Linked DNA regions of Arabidopsis thaliana. The protein of the gene in region 2 interacts with the protein of the main gene of each other region in a pairwise test. Each region holds a gene or a part of one and is shown on either strand. Other genes may lie near its edges.

The links. Proteins that work in one complex are often made in the same cells at the same time.
Region 1: the proteins of CaS (region 2) and AT5G10020 interact in a protein complementation assay, tested with the Arabidopsis thaliana proteins (one large-scale study listed by BioGRID).

Annotation. Positions count from the first base shown.
Region 1 is NC_003076.8:3,131,334-3,139,454, reverse strand, and holds AT5G10020 (Leucine-rich receptor-like protein kinase family protein), read right to left. Parts: upstream 6,212-8,121; 5' UTR 5,942-6,211; coding exon 5,011-5,941; intron 4,823-5,010; coding exon 3,185-4,822; intron 3,084-3,184; coding exon 2,506-3,083; 3' UTR 2,213-2,505; downstream 1-2,212. Other genes in the region: TGA4 (TGACG motif-binding factor 4), read left to right, coding at 160-318, 392-472, 549-608, 687-764, 834-897, 978-1,249, 1,336-1,563, 1,655-1,807; AT5G10010 (myosin-H heavy protein), read right to left, coding at 8,003-8,050.
Region 2 is NC_003076.8:7,734,411-7,742,152, reverse strand, and holds CaS (calcium sensing receptor), read left to right. Parts: upstream 1-3,617; 5' UTR 3,618-3,740; coding exon 3,741-3,956; intron 3,957-4,038; coding exon 4,039-4,284; intron 4,285-4,383; coding exon 4,384-4,576; intron 4,577-4,726; coding exon 4,727-4,868; intron 4,869-4,947; coding exon 4,948-5,079; coding exon of another isoform or gene 5,080-5,083; exon of another isoform or gene 5,084-5,158; coding exon 5,159-5,393; 3' UTR 5,394-5,635; downstream 5,636-7,742. Other genes in the region: TK1b (Thymidine kinase), read right to left, coding at 1-174; AAE17 (acyl-activating enzyme 17), read left to right, coding at 6,754-7,004, 7,088-7,217, 7,306-7,562, 7,651-7,742. UniProt on the Arabidopsis thaliana protein: Modulates cytoplasmic Ca(2+) concentration and is crucial for proper stomatal regulation in response to elevated levels of external Ca(2+).

The DNA of each region.
Region 1 (8,121 bases), 4.6 Mb from region 2:
TGGGTGATGGATAATGACTTAATGTCACAACCTTTGCTTTTGGCTGCAAATCACTTACATATCTCTTTAACTTGTGATCTTGTATCTTTTGCAATTCTTGACTTTGATGAATGAAGTTTTGTATTTTTTTTTTTTTGTTTTGTTGCTAGTTGAAGAAATATGAATACAACCTCGACACATTTTGTTCCACCGAGAAGGTTTGAAGTTTACGAGCCTCTCAACCAAATCGGTATGTGGGAAGAAAGTTTCAAGAACAATGGAGACATGTATACGCCTGGCTCTATCATAATCCCGACTAACGAAAAACCAGACAGCTTGGTACTTCAAAGTTTGCTATATATTTCAGATAAAGTGAATTCAGAAACTAATGCTTGCTTTAATCTTTGTTCAGTCAGAGGATACTTCTCATGGGACAGAAGGAACTCCTCACAAGTTTGACCAAGAGGCTTCCACATCTAGACATCCTGATAAGGTAAGTTATAATATAGCTCATTTGGTTATCTTAATTCCTTGAAGATTTTGTCATTTTAATCTTTATGTCTTCACAGATACAGAGAAGGCTAGCACAGAATCGAGAGGCAGCTAGGAAAAGTCGTTTGCGCAAGAAAGTATGAAACTTTATGTTCCTGCAACTCGTAAAACAGTTTTGTTTTCTTTAAACTGAGCTATAGAGTATTTTCTTGCAGGCTTATGTTCAGCAGCTAGAGACTAGCCGGTTAAAGCTAATTCATTTAGAGCAAGAACTCGATCGTGCTAGACAACAGGTTTGCACAAAATATTATTCTTCCTTAAGTATCTTGTTGATGTAATAATATATGATCATAATGTTGCAGGGTTTCTATGTGGGGAACGGAGTAGATACCAATGCTCTTAGTTTCTCAGATAACATGAGCTCAGGTTTGAGTCTTCTTTCACCTTTAGCGTTTAGGTAGTTTCCATTTGATTTTGAGATTCATCAGTTTTCTTTTTCTTGTTAGGGATTGTTGCATTTGAGATGGAATATGGACATTGGGTGGAAGAACAGAACAGGCAAATATGTGAACTAAGAACGGTTTTACATGGACAAGTTAGTGATATAGAGCTTCGTTCTCTAGTCGAGAATGCCATGAAACATTACTTTCAACTCTTCCGAATGAAGTCAGCCGCTGCAAAAATCGATGTTTTCTATGTCATGTCCGGAATGTGGAAAACTTCAGCAGAGCGGTTTTTCTTGTGGATAGGCGGATTTAGACCCTCAGAGCTTCTCAAGGTAATAGAAAAACCTGTCATTAATCCATAAATTGTAATGGTTTTTTTTGCAATGATTTTGGATATGGATTTTTTTTTTTGTGTTAGGTTCTGTTACCGCATTTTGATCCTTTGACGGATCAACAACTTTTGGATGTATGTAATCTGAGGCAATCATGTCAACAAGCAGAAGATGCGTTATCCCAAGGTATGGAGAAACTGCAACATACATTAGCAGAGAGTGTAGCAGCCGGGAAACTTGGTGAAGGAAGTTATATTCCTCAAATGACTTGTGCTATGGAGAGATTGGAGGCTTTGGTCAGCTTTGTAAATCAAGTAAGAAAGAAATGTTTTTACAAAAACTAACGAAGGATAACAACTAGTTTCTTGAGTTTGTTGTTGTTCTTAAACTGTTTTGTTGTTGTAGGCTGATCATCTGAGACATGAGACATTGCAACAGATGCATCGGATCTTAACCACGCGACAAGCGGCTAGAGGTTTGTTAGCATTAGGGGAGTATTTCCAAAGGCTTCGAGCTTTGAGTTCGAGTTGGGCGGCTAGGCAACGTGAACCAACGTAATTAAGGTGTTTAGATGTCAAGAAAGGTTTGAGACCTTAACAATCAAGAATGGAGTTTGCTGGTGAGTGGATTTTTGGGTCAAGAACAAGAGCAATAACACAAGCTGCTGTGTGATGATGAATCTTGTCTTGCGGCTAAAGGAAATGTTTGAGGAAAGTTGTACATATGATCAGCAACGTAAAGTTTATAGCTTTTTAGAAACCAACTTTTCGATGGTTGTTCTTTTTTTTTTGTATGTAATATTATAGATAAGCTTGTGGTATATATGATTTTAATGTGACATTACGAACTTGATTTATAACCATGGTAAAATTATTTAACAAAATATGTAATAATAGAATGGGGGAAGGGGAATAAATAAAAAGACATTAGTGAAAATTACAAAAATCAATGTGAATCATATATAGTCGAAAAGAGATAAAAAAAACAATTTATAAAAAAAAGAATCAATAAGCAAACACAAATGTTTCTGTCAGAATCAATGGGATTAGATTTTCTTCTACCTTTACAAGGAAGGGGAAAAATAATCAACAAAAAATAAATGTAAGAACACCTGAGGATCATTCTGAATCATCTGATCAAACTACTAGAGAGAAACATAAAACCAGAAAAGAAGAAGAAAAAATGGGATGATGTGTGAAAGGAAATCCATGGAGATTTACAGAAAAATTTAGAAGAGATAAAAAAACAAACAAATCTCAGGCAGAAATTGAAGTAAGATGATCAAGAACTTGTCTGATGTTAGGCCTTTCATTGACAGAGAGAATGCACCTGATTGCAACAGCAAGTGCATCCTCCATTCCCTTTGAGAACTCTTCCCCACCTGCTATGTCTCTGTCTATGCAATCCATTCTCCTTCCTTCTTGATCACACAACCTCACCCAATCGGTCAGATCAACGGCTCCTGTTTGACCTGAGATTATGTCACCTGCGCTCCGTCTAGTCAAAAGCTCCATGAGAATCACACCAAACGCATAGACATCGGATTTGAGTGTTGGTATCGGTTTGGAAGCCGAGGAAAGTTCAGGAGCAGAGTAACCGAGTGCACTCATGTTTAGTATCTGTTCCGCTACACCAGATGGAGTCATCAAACGGTGAACACAGTAATCAGTTATTCGCACGGTATTGTCAGGACTTGAGAGGATTATGTTAGTTGGCTTCAAGTTCCCGTGTGGCATTGCTCTATCATGAAGGTAGAGAAGACACTGAGCCACTTCAACTGCAACTTTTAGTCTTTGGCTGAAGGACATTGGAGAATACCTCCGAGGAGTAGTCTCTGCACAGAAAATTTGGCAGGGTGATTAACTTTTTTTCAAACAAGATACAGAAAGGCTTGTAGTTATAGGACTAAAAAGACTAATTAAAAGATCTTCTAACCGTAAAGATGCATGGCTAAGCTCTCTCCTCTCAGGTAATCAGACAGGAGAAGTCTTTCTTGTTCTCTGGGACCCCAATAGTATGCTCGCAACGGAACAATGTTAGGATGTTTTAAAGAGCCGATTTTTTTGGCTTCCCGTGCGAAATCTTTCTTATGCCTCACGAGGCCAACTCTCAACCATTTCACCGTCAACATGTGTCCATTATCCAGTGTTGCTTTGTACAGTGTTCCATGGCTGCTTCTACCTAGAACTTCTGCAGGAGCTCGGGATAACTCTTCTGCTGTGAGTTTTAGTGAAACGTCTAAGAAGAAGAGTTCTCCGGCCAATCTATCAGGTGAGTAAACATCTAACATCACAGGCTGGTCGCTAAAACGGGGTGAGGAGGATAGTGGGGAGCCTCCTGAAGAAGACTTGCGCCCAGATGCTGCAGGATAATCATCAAGGAGGTTTGTAGGAGCAGAAGTAGCAGGCGCACCCTGCTCGGATATTTCAGCTTCACATCCGGGTATCCCAGATAACGACCTTGAATTTGCGGTGAGCAAGTGATCGTTTGAGAAGCTCAAAGATGATGACTGCTGCTCAACATTTGAGCTGAAGTTGAATAAGGAGGGACGAGAAGAGCGTCCAAACTTGGTGTCTCTAGTCGTTGCTTGGTCTGTAAATCTATTCCTCCCGTGAAAGTCCTTGAGCTGTGTTCGATGATAGGCAAACAAGACAAAAAGAATCATAATAGCAGCTCCAACTGAAGCAACAATAATCGCTATTCTTATGCTAAGCTTCGAATGATGTTTTTTCCCAGGTAAAGACAGATCACCAGAAGAATCCGCTGGAATCCGTCCTGGGAGACTTAGCTTGGAGTTACCAGGATAAAATGAAGAAGGCGGGTAGCTTCTAAGGTCTTCCGGAATTATGCCTGATAGGTCGTTATACGACACATTGAATCCCACCATTTGGGAAGGAAGCTTATTGGGAATTTGACCCTTGAAAGTATTGTTTGACAAGTCAAGGAACAAAAGGCCACTAAGCTTGTTGAGGTCGCTTGGAAGTTCCCCGGACAGCTTATTATTGGCAAGATTCAGCACTTTAATTTTTTCCATTGTACCTATATCCCCAGGCAGCATACCCGTCAAAGAATTGGTTGAAAGGTCAAGTAACTCCATCTGCGGATAAGAATTTAGAACCAAAAGTTCGCTTGCACGTGAACCTCGAAAAGGAATTGGCCCCTCCAAGTTATTCCTAGAAAGATTCAAACTTCTCAAGCTTGCAAAAGTGAAGAAACTCACTGGAATGAAGCCACTGAACTTATTTGAACTGAGATCAATCACAGAGAATTGAGAATCACCCCACAGAGAAGGCAAGCTACCAGAGACAGAATTATTCCTAATGCTCAACACACTTAATCTTGAAAATGCAGAAGTAAAGTTCGGCAAGCTTCCCGACAAGTTGTTTGAGCTAAGATCAAGAACATCTGGAGTAGCTTCCCACTTTTGAACAACAGACACGTCGCCAGAGAAAGTATTCCCACTCAAATCTATCACTGAGCAACTTTTAAAACTCGACGGAAGATCCCCAGACAGGCCGTTAGAAGAAAGATTCAACATAGTTAACGTTGATGAATTGATTTCACTAATTGATCCTGCATTTGAACCAAAAGAAACTCCTTTAATATACATTTATACAACAGCTTCAGACAATGTGACACAAGTGTCTAGTCAAGACCATGAAACCAGTCAAATCAATGCTCAATGACATAAAGTTCAATAATTCTATTCCTGTATACCCTAAAAGTAGCAAGAAGAGAAAAGTTGTAAGATTTGAATTAACCTGTAAAACCGTTTCGACTTAGATCTAGCTCTAGCAAAGGAATCGAACTCTGCAACAACTCTTGAGGTACTAAACCGAACAACTCGTTACGAGCAAGCTTCAATATTCTCAAACTCGGCTGTGATCCAAAATGCGGTAACTCACCATTGATCTGGTTATTCTCTAAGTCAACAATCTCGAGATTCTTGAACGAACCAATGGACTCCTCACTGAAAAACTTGCCATTTAACGCATTGTGGCTCAAATTCAAGTGACGGAGAGTGTTGGAAATGCTGGAAATGTTCTCCATTGGTAAAGATAAGCCACCGTTGAAACGGTTACAGCTCAAATCAACGAACTCAACATTCTTAAGCTCAGTGAAAATCTCACCAACATCTCCCCAAATCTCGTTCTTATGCAAATCCAAAGATCTTAGCTGCTGAAGATTCCGAAAGCCACTAGGAAACCCACCTTCGAACTTGTTGGAAGACAAATTGAGATGATTCAAACTCCAAAGCTCCGAGATCCGACCCGGTATAGGTCCGTAGAAACCGTTATCCGACAGATCTAAGTGTTGAAGCGACGAGATTCCACCCAATGAAGGAACGACCCGACCCGAGAAGCTGTTTCCGGATAAAGAGAGGTTACGAAGACGAGTAAGACCAGAGAGAGTGCTGAATTTGAGTTCGCCGGAGAGACCACGACGGTCGAGATTAATGGCGATGATTGAACCGGTTTCAGGGTCGCAAGAGATACCAGGCCAGTCATTAGGGCAAGTAGATGGATCAGTGAGGCTGCTTGTATCTGACCATGAGATTCGTTGGTGTGAGGTCTCGTCACGGATCCCTTTACGGAACTCGAGTAGAGATCGGAGCTCCGTCTCGGTGACGGCGTTGGCACCGTGGAGGAGGAGAAGGAGTGAGAGGAAGCAGAAAGTGAGAAAATGACTCATTTAGCCCTGAAGAATCTATCTACTCCACAGAAGCAAATGCAGAGTGAGAAACACAGAAAGAATAAACCCTAGTAAGGATTCATAGCTGAGACTTGAGAGAAGAGAGAAACAGAGAGACGGAGATTTAGGGATTGTACTCGGAATCTGAAAAAAATTGAAAGAGGGGAAGAAGAAGAAGAGAGAGAGAAGAGTGTGTTTTTGAGGTTTTCCAAAAAAAAATCGAATTTTTATATTAGTTTTCTTATACTTCTTTATGGTATGACATTTTTTTCTATGCAATCAGAGATTAATACTAGTTTCCAATTTAAAGTTCAGATATTTTAAAAACTTTTATCATTTTAGGAATTATGAGTTTTCTCTTTACCTACTTTTACTCTAGTTAATGGAATCAATTTTTTGTTAATGGAATCTATAATTACTGATTAGTGATTACTCTCTCTAGTTCTTTTTTCTTTTTTGGTAACCTGACTACCAGTTTTTTTTTCTCTCATGTTAAAAAAACTTATGTTTTTACATAGACCATAGTGTGATCTCTTTTGAATATTCTCTGACATTCAAATAAGTAACCAAACCACATAAAATGGACTCAAAAAGGTGTTTTGGGGAAACCATCTTAGAAGACCAGTGACTATTGTTCAAAGGTTTTACTTAAAATCAATCATACCGTGAAAAAAAGACTACTTTAAATGAAAAAGAGTTGTTAGATGTGTCATTACATTTTGTTACACTAATTGCGTCAAGTCATTATCACTTATCAGCATTTATCATCTTTGTTATTACATATACTAGTTTAGGAAACATAATTAACTTGACGTAGTTAATGATACCAAAACCGGTAGATTCAAAACCAGGATATGAGTACAAGTACCAACCCAAAATATTTGTTTAAAAGGATATAACAATAAATATTATTTTTTTAAAAGGTGAAAAGAGAGGAAGAGAAGTGGTGGAATAATATATGATTAGTTTGCACTTTGCAGATAAGTAAAAAAACAGACTGGAAAGGACAATGGCATGTCTTTGAGTCGCTGTGTCTTTTCTTTTTTTTTCTCTTTTCTGAAGATGAAGAAAATTCGCACCCAAACCCTTTTTCTCACATGCAACACAACGTGACGGGGATATTGTAAGTAACGCCGTTAAGTTCTTTGTCCGTACACTGTACTACTCCTTAAACGGGAACGGAGATACTAAATAAGAGAAGAACGTGGTCTGTCATACTCAATTACTACTACTCTTCCGGACCAACCTGTCTATTTTTTTTCCCCTAATCACATACATTATTCTGTGTAAATTAGCTAAATATGACCATAATTTGCTATTTTAATTTAAATAATTAGTTGACAAAACATAAATTATTGACATTTCATGCAAAAATAAATAAATAACTTGACTACCCTAAGGTTAATAAGCTTTTTGAAGATTTATGGCACTGTTTGACTGATTGATTTATACATTCCCACTTGGAATATATATCTCCTTGTCGCGAATTTTAATGATAATACAAATATATATATAAACATTATAACTCTTGAGTAGTCTATTTATTTGCTCCTTTTAGAATGTCATTTTCTCTAACCATAAAATGAAAGATGCCAAACTTATTATATTTTGTCTATGTCTGTCCATCTCTCTTTCATATAATATATTATTGGGTCCAACTAAATAATACCATTTTGTTATTGTCGAAACTTTGACAACTAGTTGGAAAACCCCCACTAAAATACTCTTACTTTTCTTATAATTAGCATAATCGTCTAGAGTCTAAAGTAATGTGAGAAATGCCATTGCAATTTAAGAAAAACTTAAAGCATAGAGAGATAAAAAGCTGTCTCGATTTTCCGCAAAAAGAATTGGGTTCCCGTGACTCTTCTAAGATCTCAAGTACTCCCGAGGAGAATACAAACTCATAAAAGTAAAAGACATTTTGTCCTACAAACTTGGCTTAATAACTATAAAAGCTCAAAGAGTTTCTGAGAGCACCTGTGATTAAAAATAACTTTGATTTCTGCTGAAGCTTCCAAGAAAAGCTTTCTGGCTTCTCAAACATCTGATCATCTGATCTCAAAGGACTTCATGAGCCTTTCCATAGTATCGGTTAATGAATGGGGACTGCAAAAACAGAAGAAGCGAAAACCAGATCATTCACATACTCAGAGCTTTGTAACAAACTATAATCAAAA
Region 2 (7,742 bases):
TTTCGTTTGTAGCTTTCTGGTGGAAATGGTGGAAGGAGGTGAATTTGTGGGGGTTATGTTGTTGATTGAGAAGGAGAAGCGAAGAGCGGTGGAGAAGAGAGAGGGTTTATGGAGATGAAGAGAGAAGGGAGCAAGAGATGGTGAGATTAATGTTCTCATCGAAACACCAAACATTTGATAATTACAGAGGAATGGAGGAGGAGGAAGAAGAAGAAGCCGCAAGGAATTAGGGTTTATTGGGAAAAGGGGTCTATTGGAACGACTCTTTGAATTTTTTTGTATTAATGGGTAGCTAGTTTTGGAGTGATTTTTGAACAGATTTCTTTACATATTATTTTAAAAATAAATATTTTGATTATCAATTCAAGCTAGTTTCATGACAAAGAAATAGTATTAGATCGAAATTTTTATTATAATTTTTTTTTTTATAGTGTTTCGATGAGAACATTAATCTCACTATCTTGAATGTGATGAGATTAAATCATTCAAGCTGTTTTTTTTGGTGCTTCAATGTGATGAGTAATCTTGTTATTATAATTTTTTTTTGATGTTTTGTTCGATGATTCTTATTTTTATTGTTATGAATACTTTTACCGTAATATTTAACTTATTTTTTTCTTTAGTGATGAAAATTGCACTAATATATAATTTACTGTTAAATCTTGTTTCTTCGTACTTTTTTTAGAAAATGACTCACATATCTGTTTATGTAATAATTTTTGTGGTATAGTCTTGTATAACTTTAACATTAATTCTAACTTCCATATAATAGAATGATTTTTAGAAGGAAAAAGATATATATGATTTATTGTTATTTATTTGACAAAAAGTCTTGTTTTTTTTTTTGTTTTTTTTTGTTTTTAGCTTATGGTTAAAGAGTTAGGTTTTGGTAAAGTCTATTGTTTATCTTTTGTAATGCGTAGGTAAATTTTGGTGATATTTGATAAATTTTAACAAAAAAAGTGAAAATTATAGAGTTGATAAATTTTGGTGATATTTGATAAATTTTAACAAAAAGAAGTGAAAATTATATAAAAATGAAAAGAAGTAGAAAAGAAGAGAAAAACTAGAGTGAGAATCATTAGACTGTCAATCATAGAGTTGGATTTTTTATTGACCAAAAAGTACAAAAGACGAGGATGAGAGAAAATTATGTAATGTACGGTAAAACGGTGAGTCATCAGATTCCTCTTTTTCAAATTTCATTGATTCCAATTGAAAAATCTCCTCTCCTTCCACTTATTTCTCACATGCATTCTCTCTATATATATGAGCAGCTCCTAGTTTTATAACTCTGCATCTATCCACCTCTCTCTGTAAATTTATCTAAATGTTTCTTTTAATCTTTTTGAGATTAATAATGATTTGTGTTTGTTCATCAACCGATTTTCTCAGATCTGTCAATTATTTTTGTTTATTTATTTATGATTTATGAATGAGGAAAGAGTGAAGTCGCTGGAGGCAGCGGTTCATCGATCAATTCCTGTGAATATTTATTTTTGTTTACAAAAGCAAGAATCGATCGATAAACCTCTGCATCCAGCGCTGCTTGCTCTTCATGACTTTTGTTTAATTGATATCTATTTGAGTATTGCTGAGAAGCAGGACAATGGATTCGATAAAGTCTTCTCAGCTGCTGAAACTAAATATTTAAAATTTATCCCAAATCTAATTCAAAGTATTCATCTTTTAGCTGTTGAGATAGTGAGGGAAAACAAAATTCTTGTATATGAAAAAAGGATAAAATGAAATTGTTTGTTTGTTATTGTTTTGGGTAACAGATCAATTATCATATGTGTTTTTGTTTGTAGTCATGTCTTCATAATTGACTCATATTCTTAAATCTTACAACTTCAGTTTTGTCTTAACTTTTTTTTTTTATTGATCTGTTTTTTAACAATGGTCCTGAATTCTGATGATGCAGTTTTACTTTTGGTTTACATGTATGTATCAAGGTTTGTGTTCCATATGGTCTTTCTTCATCTAGCATTTTTGTTTTTGTTTGTTGAGCCACTGAATCCAACTTGTACTTCTTCAGCTTTGCAGATTAGTAGATCGGTTTTTTTCCTGGCTATGTCTTTTGTCACTACAGACCCTCAACGCTAATTTTGTTCCTGAGCATGGCTATGTTGTTATGAGTTCCTGATATGAAATTTGCTGTGATCTCTTGGTTTCTTGATGCAATGTGTGCTTTTGCTTACTTCTCTGGCTCTTTTAAGTATTACCTACATAGACATTGCATAATTCTAAAACCTTTGCTTTTGCATTACTATGTTCATTCTTGGCAAGTGATAAGGAATCCACGTAGAATAGTATAATACAATCAAAAACTTTGATACATTGCGCAATGAGTGCGTGATGATAACCCTTTAATCAGGATCCAAGTGGTGATATTCACTGATTAATAACCTTCTAGAGAGCCATGCTATACTTCTTGTTCTTTTCGTATTACTATTTATGAAACTGGCTGTTCAAGAAGAATCAAATTCACTCCTTAAACTTTCTTGTTGTAAAAGACACTTTTGTTATAAGTCATTGGTCTTCCTGTGTCCTCTCTTTTTTTCCCTCACCTTTGGCAGCACAGAGAAAAGGTGAGGGAATCTTGTGAAGTGAAAGGATTCCTTAGCTCGTGGGTTTTAAAATTCCTTGGAGCAAAACTTCAAATGGTATCATGATTCCATTTTCAAATTAGGTAAGAAAAGGAGAATCTTGTTCTTTTTCAAGATCAAGACTTGTTATCTTTCTTATATTCCTCACACAAGAGGGGCTGTTAAAATATGAGAAAATACTGTTTCTCTACAATGTTCTTATATAGAATTTGTGATGATGGTAGCACTACTAATAATATGATACCACTCTCTAGGCTGATGCTTTAACAAACATGAACTTAATAGCATAGTTTAAATGGTGAGCTTGCTTGTTTTAAGGTCTAGTAATGGTACTACTATACATTTTGTGGAATTATATACTTGTAAATGCTATGGAACTAGTGATCATGTGTGTTTGCTCGTCTTCCTTCAATCATGGGAAAGTTAATAAAGTGAGTCTATAATTTTACTAGTAGACGGTTGACCAAGTGTAGGTAGTTTACTTCACTTGATCAGCATGCTCAAATCTGTTCAAATTTTTAGGAGAGTAAACAGGAACCACAAGAACGGAACCTAAACCAACATCAGTCCAATTTAAGATACTTGGTTTTGTACGGAATGAAGTTTAATAGCAGTTTTCGGTCTTGGTTCATACAAGATGATGTTTATTGGCTTTGATTGGTAACACAATTTGAGGCGCTTGGAGCGGAGGTTGAACCGCTTCTTTGATTACCAATCGAACTGATGGAACTCATTGTTAGAAGAGGCGGCTAAAACAGATAGCTACTTCGTGTACAACCATAAGCATGTTTCAATGTACAGTATTCATTTTTTGTTGCTCTTATTCTGTAGTACACCTCTGATATTACTGCTACAATGAAATTCTTGTACGACATATATCAAAGTATTGGATTGGCAACGAACGGCTAAGCTTTAACACAAAAATGCCACGTAGGATTAGTCTGACCAATAAGAATCCATCTTTCAAATCCCCTTCCTTCAATCTTAACCAGAAAACTCAATTTATTTATAATCTTTAGAAAAAGGTACTTGAAGAAACAGTTTGCAGACAACATTGAAGAGAAGCTCTAAAGATTCTTTGTCTCTTTCTCTGTCGCATTGATTTGTAAAAAAGTGTGGCAGAGAGAAACCATGGCTATGGCGGAAATGGCAACGAAGTCTTCACTATCTGCAAAACTCACTCTTCCTTCTTCTTCTACTAAGAAGACACTGAGTCTGAGACAAGTCTCTGTTTCACTTCCAACATCAACTTCAATCTCTCTGTTATCTCTCTTTGCATCTCCTCCTCATGAAGCTAAAGCTGCTGTTTCCATTCCCAAGGACCAAATCGTCTCCTCTCTCACTGAAGTATATATAATAATCTCACTTTACTTCTTGAAATGACCAAAATGTCTCCTTTTTGTTGATGAGTGTTCTTGTGTCTTAACAGGTGGAGAAAACAATCAACCAAGTTCAAGAAACTGGTTCTAGTGTATTTGATGCAACGCAGCGTGTGTTCCAAGTAGTAGGAGATGCTCTTAAACCAGCTTTGGACACTGCTTTACCCATTGCAAAGCAAGCTGGTGAAGAAGCTATGAAGCTTGCTTCTCCTGCTTTCTCTGAAGCTTCAAAGAAAGCTCAAGAAGCAATGCAGAGCTCTGGTTTTGATTCTGAGCCTGTCTTTAATGCTGCAAAGGTCAGATTTCTTACATTCAAATATGTATGAGAACATAACAATTTAGGTTTTGGGGTTTAGGGTTTGAAGTGGTTTGTCTGTGTTTTGGTTGGGATGTAGACAGTAACAGATGTAGCACAACAGACGTCAAAAGCGATAGAAGATGCTAAACCGATTGCTTCATCGACCATGGATACGATTTCTTCAGCTGACCCTAGTGTCATTGTTGTTGCTGCTGGTGCTGCGTTTCTTGCTTACCTTCTTCTCCCTCCTGTTTTCTCTGCCATCTCTTTTAACTTCCGTGGTTACAAAGGTACCTCAAGACTCCATATAGATCATCTTGAGAACATATATAAGTTTTTGATTTGGTTATTAGTGATCTATTTTGTATCTAGAGTCTAATTCACCATAGCAAAATGCTGACAATTACTCTGTGTTTCTGGTTTGTGTTTTTTTAATAAAGGTGATCTTACGCCGGCTCAAACGCTTGACCTTCTTTGCACCAAGAACTACTTGATGGTGGATATAAGATCAGAGAAAGACAAGGAGAAAGCCGGGATTCCACGGCTCCCTTCGAATGCTAAGAACCGCGTGATCTCCATTCCGTATGTGTCTATCTAACTTTGATAATTCTTTTCATTATTATTATACTCAAAACATTGAACCTGTTCTTGTGATTATCAGATTAGAAGAACTACCAAACAAAGTAAAAGGAATCGTGAGGAACTCTAAACGAGTTGAAGCAGAGATAGCAGCATTAAAGATTTCTTACCTCAAGAAAATCAACAAAGGCTCCAATATCATCATCTTGGACTCGTGAGTTTTGATTATTACTCTTTTACAAGACCTTTTTTGTGAATCTTGCTTAATCTTTATTGGTCTTTTTGGCTCGTAGGTACACGGATTCGGCTAAGATAGTGGCGAAAACGTTAAAGGTTCTCGGGTACAAGAATTGCTATATTGTGACAGATGGATTCTCTGGTGGCAGAGGATGGTTGCAGAGCCGTTTAGGCACTGATTCTTACAACTTCTCGTTTGCACAAGTCTTGTCTCCATCGCGGATTATCCCGGCAGCTTCGAGAAGCTTTGGCACTAGGTCCGGAACCAAGTTCCTTCCTAGCTCCGACTGAAAACAGAGGATATATATAGTTTTACAAGTGTTGTTTAGTATTCCTTTATTTCTCAACTTTGAGAGATCTTTTGATAAGATAAGATTTTCGAATTACTTACTTACTTGTCTTTTACATTGATGATCATATATGGAAAAGATTACATCAAACTGAAGTAGTAGCTAATCATCTAAAAGAAAAAATGTATGATCAAAAACCGGGATGAGTTTGGCCTATAGTGGTAGGAAAAAATTGGGATAAAGACTAAATTCATAATGAGTTATGGACAACTAATTGTAATATCACATAGATGCACAATCATTTTGGACCATCTGGTAGGTGTGTGTGTGTGGCCTAGCCTTATCACTTAGTGGGATTGCCAATAGCTTTTTGCCGAAAATCCATTTTACAAATGGTTGAAGATAATAAAAATTAGACAAGTTTTTTTTTTTGTGGAGTTTAGTTTAGTGCTTTCAATCATGTGAAAACCAAGATATAAATTTTGAAAACTATTATAAATATTGTGCAATAGTTGAAGTATATACAAACTATTTTTAATCAAAATGTTGTCTAATTAATATTAATTGTAACACCGGTCACTCCGAATTGTAACAAAATTGTCTATTTTGCTAACGGATTCTACACCAAATTAAATAAAATTTATATAGACTAACATATATTGCTCTACTGATCCATACAATCTAAATTGATAGTGTATATAGACTGAAATCAATAAATAAAAGACATAAACCAAATAAGATGATGATCAAAAGTCGAAAAGAGAAAGCAAAAAAAAAAGGTGTAAGAGATCAGTACCACTACATAATGTATATAGACTGAGACCAATTTCAAGATACATAAAATCATATAAAGTAACCAAATGTAAAGTGTTATCTTCTTTTCCTCAATATATCAATCAATCAACATTTTTTTTCTTTCACTTTCATTATGATTCCTAACATATAAATAACTAAACTTAGTTTGTCCCAAAAAAAAAAATACCCAACTAAACTTAAGGTAAAAAATTGGTCATAGTAACATATCGACAATGTATATAATATGGAGCCTAGATTCTGAAATGATTCATAGATTAAGAATACAAGTTCATATCTCATACAATGTATATAGACTGATATCAATAAAAAGATTCATATCATAATATAACATGAAGATAAAAAAAAAGTAACTCCTATCACCAAGAAGAAGAAGATAATCCAATCAGACGTGTAAAGAGCGAAAAAAAGCTATCAAATATCAGAATCAGATTGACACGTGGCGATCACGAGCTCTCTTTATATTACGTGGACAATTTTGCCACTCTTCTCTCTGCCACTCTCATCATTTTTTGAATCATTCATGATTTCTTAGCTCTCTCAAAAAAATGGCGTACAAATCCCTAAATTCAATCACCAAATCTGATATCGAAGCTCTAGGAATCTCCGGTGATGTCTCCGAGAAGCTTCTCAGAGATCTCGAAGACATTATTCACGGTTCATCCACGCCGCCGGAGACGTGGATTCAGATTTCTCGGCGGATCCTTCACCCTAATCTCCCTTTCTCTTTTCACCAGATGATGTATTACGGTTGCTACAAGGATTTCGGACCCGACCTACCCGCTTGGATACCCGACCCGTACGAATTGTTTGTTTACCATAAATTGATTTTTCTCCGTTTGTTTCAGATTCTTATGATTTTGGCTTTGTTGTATATTATAGGAAGGTTGCTTCTTTAACTAACGTAGGCAAGTTATTAGAAAAGCGAGGCAAAGAGTTTTTAGGTGGAAATTACAAGAATCCAGTTTCGAGTTTCTCCAGTTTTCAAGAGTTCTCTGTATCAAATCCTGAGGTAACTAACATTGGTGTTATTATTATTGTTATGCCTTAAGTTTTCGTGATTATGTGTTTTGTAATTCTATGGTGATTATCTTGATCAGGTGTATTGGAAAACTGTATTGGATGAGTTAAACATATTGTTCTCTGTACCTCCTAAGTGTATATTAGAGAAGGATACTTCTGGAGATAATCCTGGAGGTAAATGGCTTCCTGGAGCTTACTTGAATCCTGCAAGAAATTGTTTGACTAATGGTTTCAAGAGAAGATTGGATGATATTGTGATTCGATGGCGTGATGAAGGAAGCGATGATCTTCCTGTGAATACCATGACACTTTTGGAGTTAAGATCGCAGGTCTGGTATGAAATTCCCATCCTTGTGGCCTTTCTTTGGTGAATAACGCTTTAAAGTTGTTTCCTTTACTGACTATTGTTATCTATTGTGTAGGTTAGCTGCACATGCTCTTAGTGCTTTGGGTTTGGAGGAAGAGTCAGCAATCGCGGTTGATATGCCAATGAATGTTGAGTCTGTGATCATAT